2 linked regions of the Macaca mulatta genome follow. The protein of the gene in region 1 purifies or fractionates together with the protein of each later gene. This does not show direct contact. Links are inferred from orthologs where the notes say so. Each region holds a gene or a part of one and is shown on either strand. Other genes may lie near its edges.

What was found. The genes of interacting proteins can lie anywhere in the genome.
Region 2: the proteins of GATAD1 (region 1) and MORF4L2 purify together in Homo sapiens (affinity purification with mass spectrometry; 4 studies listed by BioGRID and IntAct, with this or other methods). This does not show direct contact. The link is inferred for Macaca mulatta from reciprocal best matches to the Homo sapiens genes GATAD1 and MORF4L2.

What each region holds. Positions count from the first base shown.
Region 1 is NC_133408.1:126,936,086-126,940,307, forward strand, and holds the start of GATAD1 (GATA zinc finger domain-containing protein 1), read right to left. Parts: upstream 2,806-4,222; 5' UTR 2,536-2,805; coding exon 2,281-2,535; intron 1,517-2,280; coding exon 1,391-1,516; intron 1-1,390. UniProt on the Homo sapiens protein: Component of some chromatin complex recruited to chromatin sites methylated 'Lys-4' of histone H3 (H3K4me), with a preference for trimethylated form (H3K4me3).
Region 2 is NC_133426.1:110,318,694-110,322,768, forward strand, and holds the start of MORF4L2 (mortality factor 4-like protein 2), read right to left. Parts: upstream 2,807-4,075; 5' UTR 2,742-2,806; intron 1,478-2,741; exon of another isoform or gene 1,401-1,477; intron 41-1,400; 5' UTR 1-40. UniProt on the Homo sapiens protein: Component of the NuA4 histone acetyltransferase complex which is involved in transcriptional activation of select genes principally by acetylation of nucleosomal histone H4 and H2A.

The DNA of each region.
Region 1 (4,222 bases):
GAACTAAGGCTTTAGAAACTTTGACAGTTCTTAGTAATTTGCTACCATCCAACCATTTTTGAAATCCCTACTAAAGCTTCAATACATACTTTTATGCCACAACATAGAAAGTAGGCCTCCCCAGATGTGTCTTGCTTAGTAACATTGAAGAAAGGGTTGCAGACAAACGATAATGAATTAATTGCTGAGAACATGGTATACTATACTTAAAAGGAAAAAAAATGTGCATATGTGATACAAATACCAATAAGATATTTTGCATAATCAACAAATGCCTTGCTTAACTAAATTATAAAAATCTTAAATAAATTAGAAGCAACTACTCTGAAAAAGAAAATACTTTGGGGAAGGGAACATCACACACTGGGGCCCATCGGAGATGGGGGGCAAGGGGAGGGAGAGCATTAGGACAAATATCTAATGCACATGGGCCTTAAAACCTAGATGATGGGTTGACAGGTGCAGCAAACCACCATGGCACATGTATACCTATGTAACAAACCTGCACGTTCTGCACATGTATCCCAGAATTTAAAGTAAAATTTTAAAAAATTAATTAAATTAAATTAAATTAAAAAAAAAAAAAAAAAAGAAAATAGTCTGCCATCTGCATAAGTCTACTGCAGGGTCCCTTTGTGTTTCAGAAATAAATATGCCCGACTTCAAAAATGTCTTTACGGGTAAGTGAAACATTCCTGTTCTGAAAGAAAAGAATACCATACTGAGACTTAAAAAAATAGTCCATAATGCACTGTCCATTGTGTTTGAACATTATCCCTTGTTTATAAAAACTGATAATTTAATTGCAATAAAAATATGCTTTCAATTATTTCCAGCACAGGTCTTTCAACAATGTCTTTTCTTAGAGTAGAAGAGATAAGGCTTAGCAGAATTTTTGACTCATATTCATCAAATACATCATCATCATAAGTCAATAAGATACATTTTCTGGGGCTTTAATAATAAATAAATATGCAAATGATGAGTTCTAGTGTTAATATTTACTTAATTTTTAAAGAATGAAAAAAAAGTTTTCTTAGTGTACCTGGCCATATCAAGAACCATAATCTCTCCTCTTCCTTTCCATAGAGAACCCCAAAAAATGGGCTCAAGGCTGATGTTTCTTTTAAACTCATATTTTATATTTTCCAGGGGAAAAAAATAAAAGCTAAAAAAAAAAAAAAAAAAAAGGAAAGAGTATTATTACCTTTAAAAATAGTGAGCCTCCTGCAACAGAGCTCATTCCCTTTTGGGGAGTCTGGACCACTCCCCAGAATACTAAGGAAGGGCTACCAAGGGCAGAGTCCAAGTTCAATGGCGGGAAATGAAGGCAGTGGCAGGATACACACAACATCATTACAGTAAAAGGCACTGTCCACAAATATCTTACATTTTTCAATTTAAATATATGTCTTCTCCCTTTTCCTTTGGTGGAAACTTTCTTCTCAGCAGCCGGAGCAGATTTGTATTTAGTGTTTCTGAGCCGAGCAGACCTCCTGTGAATTTCCTGCTTACTCTGTTACACAAACAAATTAAAGAACAGAGAAAGAAGTAAAAAGTGTATAAAGGTTGCAATACAATCATCTTACAAGGATCCCAGAGTATGTACTTTATAGGAGTATTTAACAATTAAGAGTGCGCCTTTGCTTTTCAACAGAGGTAATTTCAGCAACTGGGCTAAGTAAAACCGGAAGTTCAGCACCGGAATCTCGGAGCTCGCTGGACAGGCGTCTCCAGAGCCTCCAAAAGGTGTGAGCTGCTTGTAATAGGTCAGGAGGCGGAAGTAAGAGTCAGTCTGGGCCAAGACAAACACTATTCATTTGTTGTGTCTACAATAGAGAAAAACACTTAACAACTTTACTCCCTAAGGCCAGATAACGTATTAGGTTATGGCGCCTCCTACAACTGAATACTTAAGCTGCCATTTACAATAATGACATAATAATCTTACTTCATAACCTGATATGACAAAACCTTTAACAAGCAATGAGGTCCAGCACCTGCACTTGTGGCATGACCCTGTTTACGACTGTGTAGACGTGTGCATATTGAGATTTTCTTAAGGGCTTTACATTTTGGTTCTTATTGCTTTGAATTTCTTATAACAGGTGCTTTGGAATGGGTCAAACCAAAGATCTCAGTAGGAGGTGGGGAGGGGCGTTCCAGCCGGCAGGACCACGCGAGCCGGGAAGCCCGGGCCCGCCCGCTCCCAACCCGCCCGGCCCCTGCCGCCTAGCGCCCGGTCGGCCTCCGCCGGCGGGAGGGGCCGGAGGAGCTCACCTGCTTGCCGCCCCCGCCCCCGTTGCTCTGCGGAGGAGTGGCGGAGGTGCTGGCGAAGGTCGCCGCGCCGAAGCCGCCGCCACCGCCGCTGCTGCCCCCAGTCCCTCCAGCCGCCCCCGAGCCTGCGCCCCCGCTGCCCGCGCCGCCCCGGCCAGTGCAATGATGGCAGAGGATCTCCCCCTGCGTGCCCTTCTTCCACATGGAGGACGACGTGGTCTTGCATACGCTGCAGGTGGGCTTCAGGCCCAGCGGCATGGTGGCCGGCTCGGGCGGCCCCCGCGGGCGCAGAGACACGGGAATGGCGGACGCTAGCCCGGCCGCCCCCTGGTCGGCCCACCACTCCCGGCGATAGGAAGAGCGGTGAGGGCGACAGCACCGAGCTGCCCGTGAAGGGACTAGGCCGCTAGCGCTGCCGCGTGGAGGCGGGAAGCGGGTTCCGCCGGTTCCGCCGGCTCGGCGCCCAGCACCAGCCCCGGGAGGCCCGAGGCACTGGGAAGCAGGACCGGGAACGGGATATGGCCGGCGGGGACGCGGAGGCTTCCGGCGGTGAGCTGGCCCCAGGGCCGCGCAGCCCGACCGCCTGACCGGAAGTGCAGCACCCGGAATTACTGGGAGCTTGCGGTAGTTCCGCTTGCTGTCGCCTAGGGGCGCGGTTCTCAAACTTTTTGGTGTCAGGCCTAGAATTTGCGGGGTAAAATGCAGGACGCCCAATGAAATGTGACTTTCAGGTAAACGACGAACAATTGTTTTTAGCGTGAGTGTATTTCATGCAATAATGGTTTATCTGAGAGGAGTTTAACTGGGAGTCCTGTATTTTTATGTGCTAAATCTGGCAATCCAGGTCTGGCGTGGTGGCTCACGCTTGCAATCCCAGCACTTTGGGAGACCAAGGCTGGCGGATTACTTGAGCTCAGGAGTTCGAAATCAGCCTGGCCAACATGGTGAAACCCCTTCTCTACTAAAAATACAAAAGTTAGCCAGGCTCAGTAGTGGCGGGCTCCGGGGTAATCCCAGCTACTCTGGAGGCTGCGGCAGAAGAATCTCTTGAGTGCGGGAGGTAGAGCCTGCAGTGAGCCAAGATCATGCCATTGCACTTCAGCCTGGGGGATAGAGTGAGACTCTAACTCAAGAAAAAAAAAATCTGGCAATCTTTCTCAGGACCCCTTTACACTCTTAAAAATTATAATTTGGACATGCCCCTACATCTCCCCCCAACCCATACTTTTGTTTAGTTGAATTCAGAGCATGCCATTTACGGACATCGACAAGGGATTCAGAAAATGCCATCCACTGACATTTATGTTTTAGAAATTGAAATTGAGACATTTTACAGCCTAAGATGTCAAGCGCACATTCTTCAGCCATTGGGTAATATCGTTGCAAGTCCCTTGGACTCTGAAGAGTATACCGATTAGAGAATGTGGAGAAAATTGAATAACTGGCTGTTATTCAATTCAAAACTGTTGGAAAACAGTTTTGGCTCTGAGGACCCAGCAGTTGACAAACAGCGGGCCTGGGACAAGCGCAGTATGAGAAGTCAGATCGCCTCTTTTAATGTCACTAGTCAGTACAGGCCTCGCCAGACAAGTCTCTCCTCAGCCTCATTTGGAAGAGCATGTCCTGTCTTCATGATCCTGGGTTTCCTAGACTTAGTATCCTTGGAAAAGTCTTGATGAATATATTGTGGTGGGAAGCAATGGGGAGAAACAAATGCCTATTATGTCACAAAACCACATTTAGTGCTTATGACAACCTTGGAATGAGATATTATCAGATTTTACTGTTAATTGGTGATCAACAGAGGCACTTCTATGTGAACTGGCTGTCATTATAGCTGCTGCCGTTGGCACCAATTTCGAGGAGGACTTTGGAGCAGCCCTCCCCCCTCTAAATCTGTTTCCGTAACAGTAAAAATAAGTTTCCAGGACTCTTATGGGGATTA
Region 2 (4,075 bases), on another chromosome or scaffold:
ATCCTCACTATACAGCAAACTTAGCTTTTCTGATGGTGACCTAGAAGGTCAAACAAAAGGACAGGAAAGGACATAAAATAAAAAGATATGAGATATGGCTTTCTTCTACATCAGCCAATGCAATTTCATCACACACAAAGGACACCAAAGCTGATAAATAATGTACAAGTATTTCTTTTTCCTTTCTTGTGGCTACATTTTCAAATTTAACTTATTGTATATTTATATAATTTCTGACAATTTTTTTAACTTTTCCTTAAAGATAATTTCAAATGGATGAAATAAAAGAATAGTATTACAAACCTACACGAATCCATCATCCAGCTTTCAACAATTACCAACTGAAGGCCATCTTGTTTCATCTATAACCCCACCCACTGCTCCCCCCCACCCCCGACTTTTTCAAGCTCACGGGAATATCTGACTTCTGTATTTTATTATACAAAAATTTAAACGTATACCAAGGAAAGCAGATTAATATACGGAACCCACTGCCTATCACTCAGCAAAAACTATTATTAATTTAGGGTCAATTTTGTTTCATCTATACCCCTCCCCATTTCCCCCTACCGCTTAGATTATTTTGAAGCAAATCCTAGTCATTAATGTATTTAGAAGCCAATCCCAGACATTATATTATTTAATCCGTAAATATTTTCGTATATGTCTCTACAAAAAAGGACAATTTGAAAACATAATCACAATACTACTGTGACGCCTAAAAAAATTGACATCAATTCCTTAAAAAACATCAAATATCGAATCCATGTTCCAATTTTCCCGATGCGTCTTAAACATATTTTTACAGTTGGTGTGTTCGATTCAGGATCCAAACAAGGCCTACTCATCGCATGTGGTTCATCTCCAGCTCGCTCTCGTTCTCCATCTCTTTCTTTCTCGCACTCCACCCCCCCACCTTTTATTTAACTTTTCAACATGGGAAAATTACAATCTCTGCAATTTTGAGGCAATTCCCAAAGAGCAAATTATTTCATTGGTAAAAATTGATATATCTCTTTTATCTTTAATTTATTCTAGGAAAGAAGTTGATGGCAGAAAGGGCACTACAATTAGCGAATTTATATAATTTATAATTTTTCTCATTCTATTACGTGTATTATTTATCTCCATAACAATAGCTAATATCTTCAGGGGCCAGGCTTCATATTACGTGCCTTATACGCACCATTATACAGTACACGTCTCTGAGGTAGATACTATTATTATCACCATTTTACAAACATGGAAACCGAGACACAGAAAGAACAGGAGCCTTGCCCAAGCTGGGCGTTGGCGAGCAGGAATCTGAATCCAGCTCTGACCGATTGTGAAGGAACTAGCTAATCCCGTCTATACCCGACGAAAAGAGGAAATCATCGACCCTTTCTCCCCACCCCCACCCCGAAACCTGAAACGAGAATCCAGATCTTCCCAGCAGACGACGTGTGATCACTGCCGTTCCTCCAACCGCCATAGTAAAGCCAGGTTTCTCTGGCAACTGATATCCATAGGCAGACACGTCACCCTGGAGGAGGGCGTATGCCCTTCAGCCAATCACAATCGTCTTGTCTAAGTTTTAGAATGTTCCATAACCAAATGATTGGACAACCACCCCCACGTCAGCAATGACACTTCGCCGCAGTAAAGGCGGGTGCTAGCAACCTGCTTCTTCACTGTTAAGGCCTACAGCAAACCAATCCTCTTCCTCCGTCAGTGCGAGTTCCGGCCAATGACGTTCGCCCTCTTAGGTTTTTAGCCCGCCCTCCAAAAGCGTGACAGCCGTTGGGTCATAAGTCTATAGGGCAGAATGTTCACGTGGCCTATTTCACGACCCAGAGTTCCTCTGACCAGAAGGTTTTTTTTTTTTTCCTTTTCCTTTTTTTTTTTTTTTTAATTTTTTTCCTGCAGGGAGGCATTATGGGTTTGTGTTTCCCCCCAGCCCCCCACTGGGAGAGGAAGTGTCTACGTGGCCTGCGGAAATAGGCGGAAATGAGCTAAGGTTCCCGCGAGTGGGGAAGCGCGAGGTCAAATCTGGAGCCACGCCCCCAGGCCTGTGGCGCAACTCCCCGAACATGGAAAAAAAAGGCGCAGTGGGGGGTTCTGCTGTGTTTGCGAGTTAGGGTCGTGAGTGCAACGGGCGCAAGGCATTAAGGCCAGTGTGTTAGTGCGCGGGCAGGCTCGAGTGCCCCTGGGGTTGCTGTGTGAGCGGCCCTCGTGGCGCTGGAGGTGATGTGTTTGCGCAGGCGTGCGCCCCTGGCGTCTGGACTGGTGAGAGCCACGGCGCGCGCCCGCGTGCGTGATTGGGGTGGGAGTTGCGGGGAGGGGTTAGCTACTGCGCGCAGGTTATCTATTTCTGTATTTTGTTTGAAAATGTTCTAATGAAAATGAAAATAAATAATTAAGGCAAGGCGACAATAACAGAGATAAAGGGGCACTGTCAGAAATATTTTGGCTTTCCCTGATTTAAATACTCCTCTGTGCCAAAATCCGGTCGTAAACCACAGCCCTCCAATGATTCAGAGCCAAAGCCTTCCATCGTCACATTAGCAACTCCAAAGGGAGACTTCTTTCAAGTTGTCTAGTATCCTCCTCCCTCCCCTCTTCCACACCTCCCCCCTCCCTTCAAGGTTGCGTGCAGTTCTCTTGGCACAAATACAATTTTCCTATGAGAATATCTATCTATGACAGCCTTCCCCTCCGTTAGAGACTCCGGATTTTTATGGTGACTAGGGCGCTCTTACCTTTGCGTCCTGATCTCCAAGCAAGCACACTGACCTTCTTCAGGCAAATACGCACTGTTAATTTTCCAGAAAGTTCTGTGGGTAAGGTTTATACCTCTCGAGTTCGCCACTAGATGCCGCCAAATCCCAGCAAAGGATTGGCTGTGTGGTCCCTGGGATTCTGGGATTTTGTTTCCCTCCCCCCTCCCCTTTCTTGATTTGCTGAACGCTAATATCTAAGGCATCATTGATATCGTTCATTCCTAGGAAAAAATAAAATCAGCTTCTGTGAATAGCACTAGTAGTCAGGGAACTGTGACCCAAGATCCAAATAATTTTACTCATTTCTTTCCTTTTCTCCTTGGGTGGGGGGGCGGGGGGGAAGGCCCCTCTCCATCCCTCGCTTCTTTTGTCCTTGCCTTGTTTAATCAAAGAGTTAATGAATGACCCAAGCACTGATGCTGAAGATCCTAACCCTTTTTCCTCACCTTTTCAAATGCTCGCAACTCACCCAAACTGAAAATACAGATAGCTGTTACTTTAGTAAAGAGATAAGAACTCATCAGTAAAACTTGGACCCTGGTATTGAAAACTGATTTTCCTTTTCTCTTGAAATTTGTATCAGATATGTGTGTTTGCACCCTATTTTCTGTAGTGGTATTGATAGACTTTATTGTGTCTTTGGAGTAAGAGAAAGAGACTTAATTGTTAACCTCATTCCACCACTTACTAGTCTCAGTACCCTGGGCAAATGATTTATGTTCTGTGATCCTCAGTTTTTTGTATGCTTTCTATATTTTAGATGCTGTGTTATATCCTTCATGTCGATTTTTTTTTTAATTTATCACCAAGTCCTTATTAGATGAGCAGTACTAGATCAAAGTCAAACAACAAAAATCATACCCCTTTCAATTATCTATCTTATATACTTGTACACAAGAGGGATTTTTTTAGAGCAGTGGTTCACAAGATGTGTTTCCTGGATGTACCAGAAACATCAGCATCACCTGAAAAATTGTCAGAAATTCACATTCTCAGGTCCCACCTCAAACTTAATGAATCAGAAGTTCTCACGGTGGGGTTTGGTAATCTGTGTTATTACAAACTATCCCAGTGATTCCAGCACACACTGAAGTTTGAGAACCACTGCTTTGGAGAGTAGAAATGCAATGCATATTTTTGTATACACCACTAGAGGGTGCTACAGAATGTAAAGCAAAATAATAAATGATGCACAGTATATGTTTTCACACACCATCCATATTATCAGTCCTATTTTACAGATTGAAAACTAATGTGTAGAGATGTCAAATTATTTTCTTAGTGCACACAACAAGTATGGGAACCAGGATTTG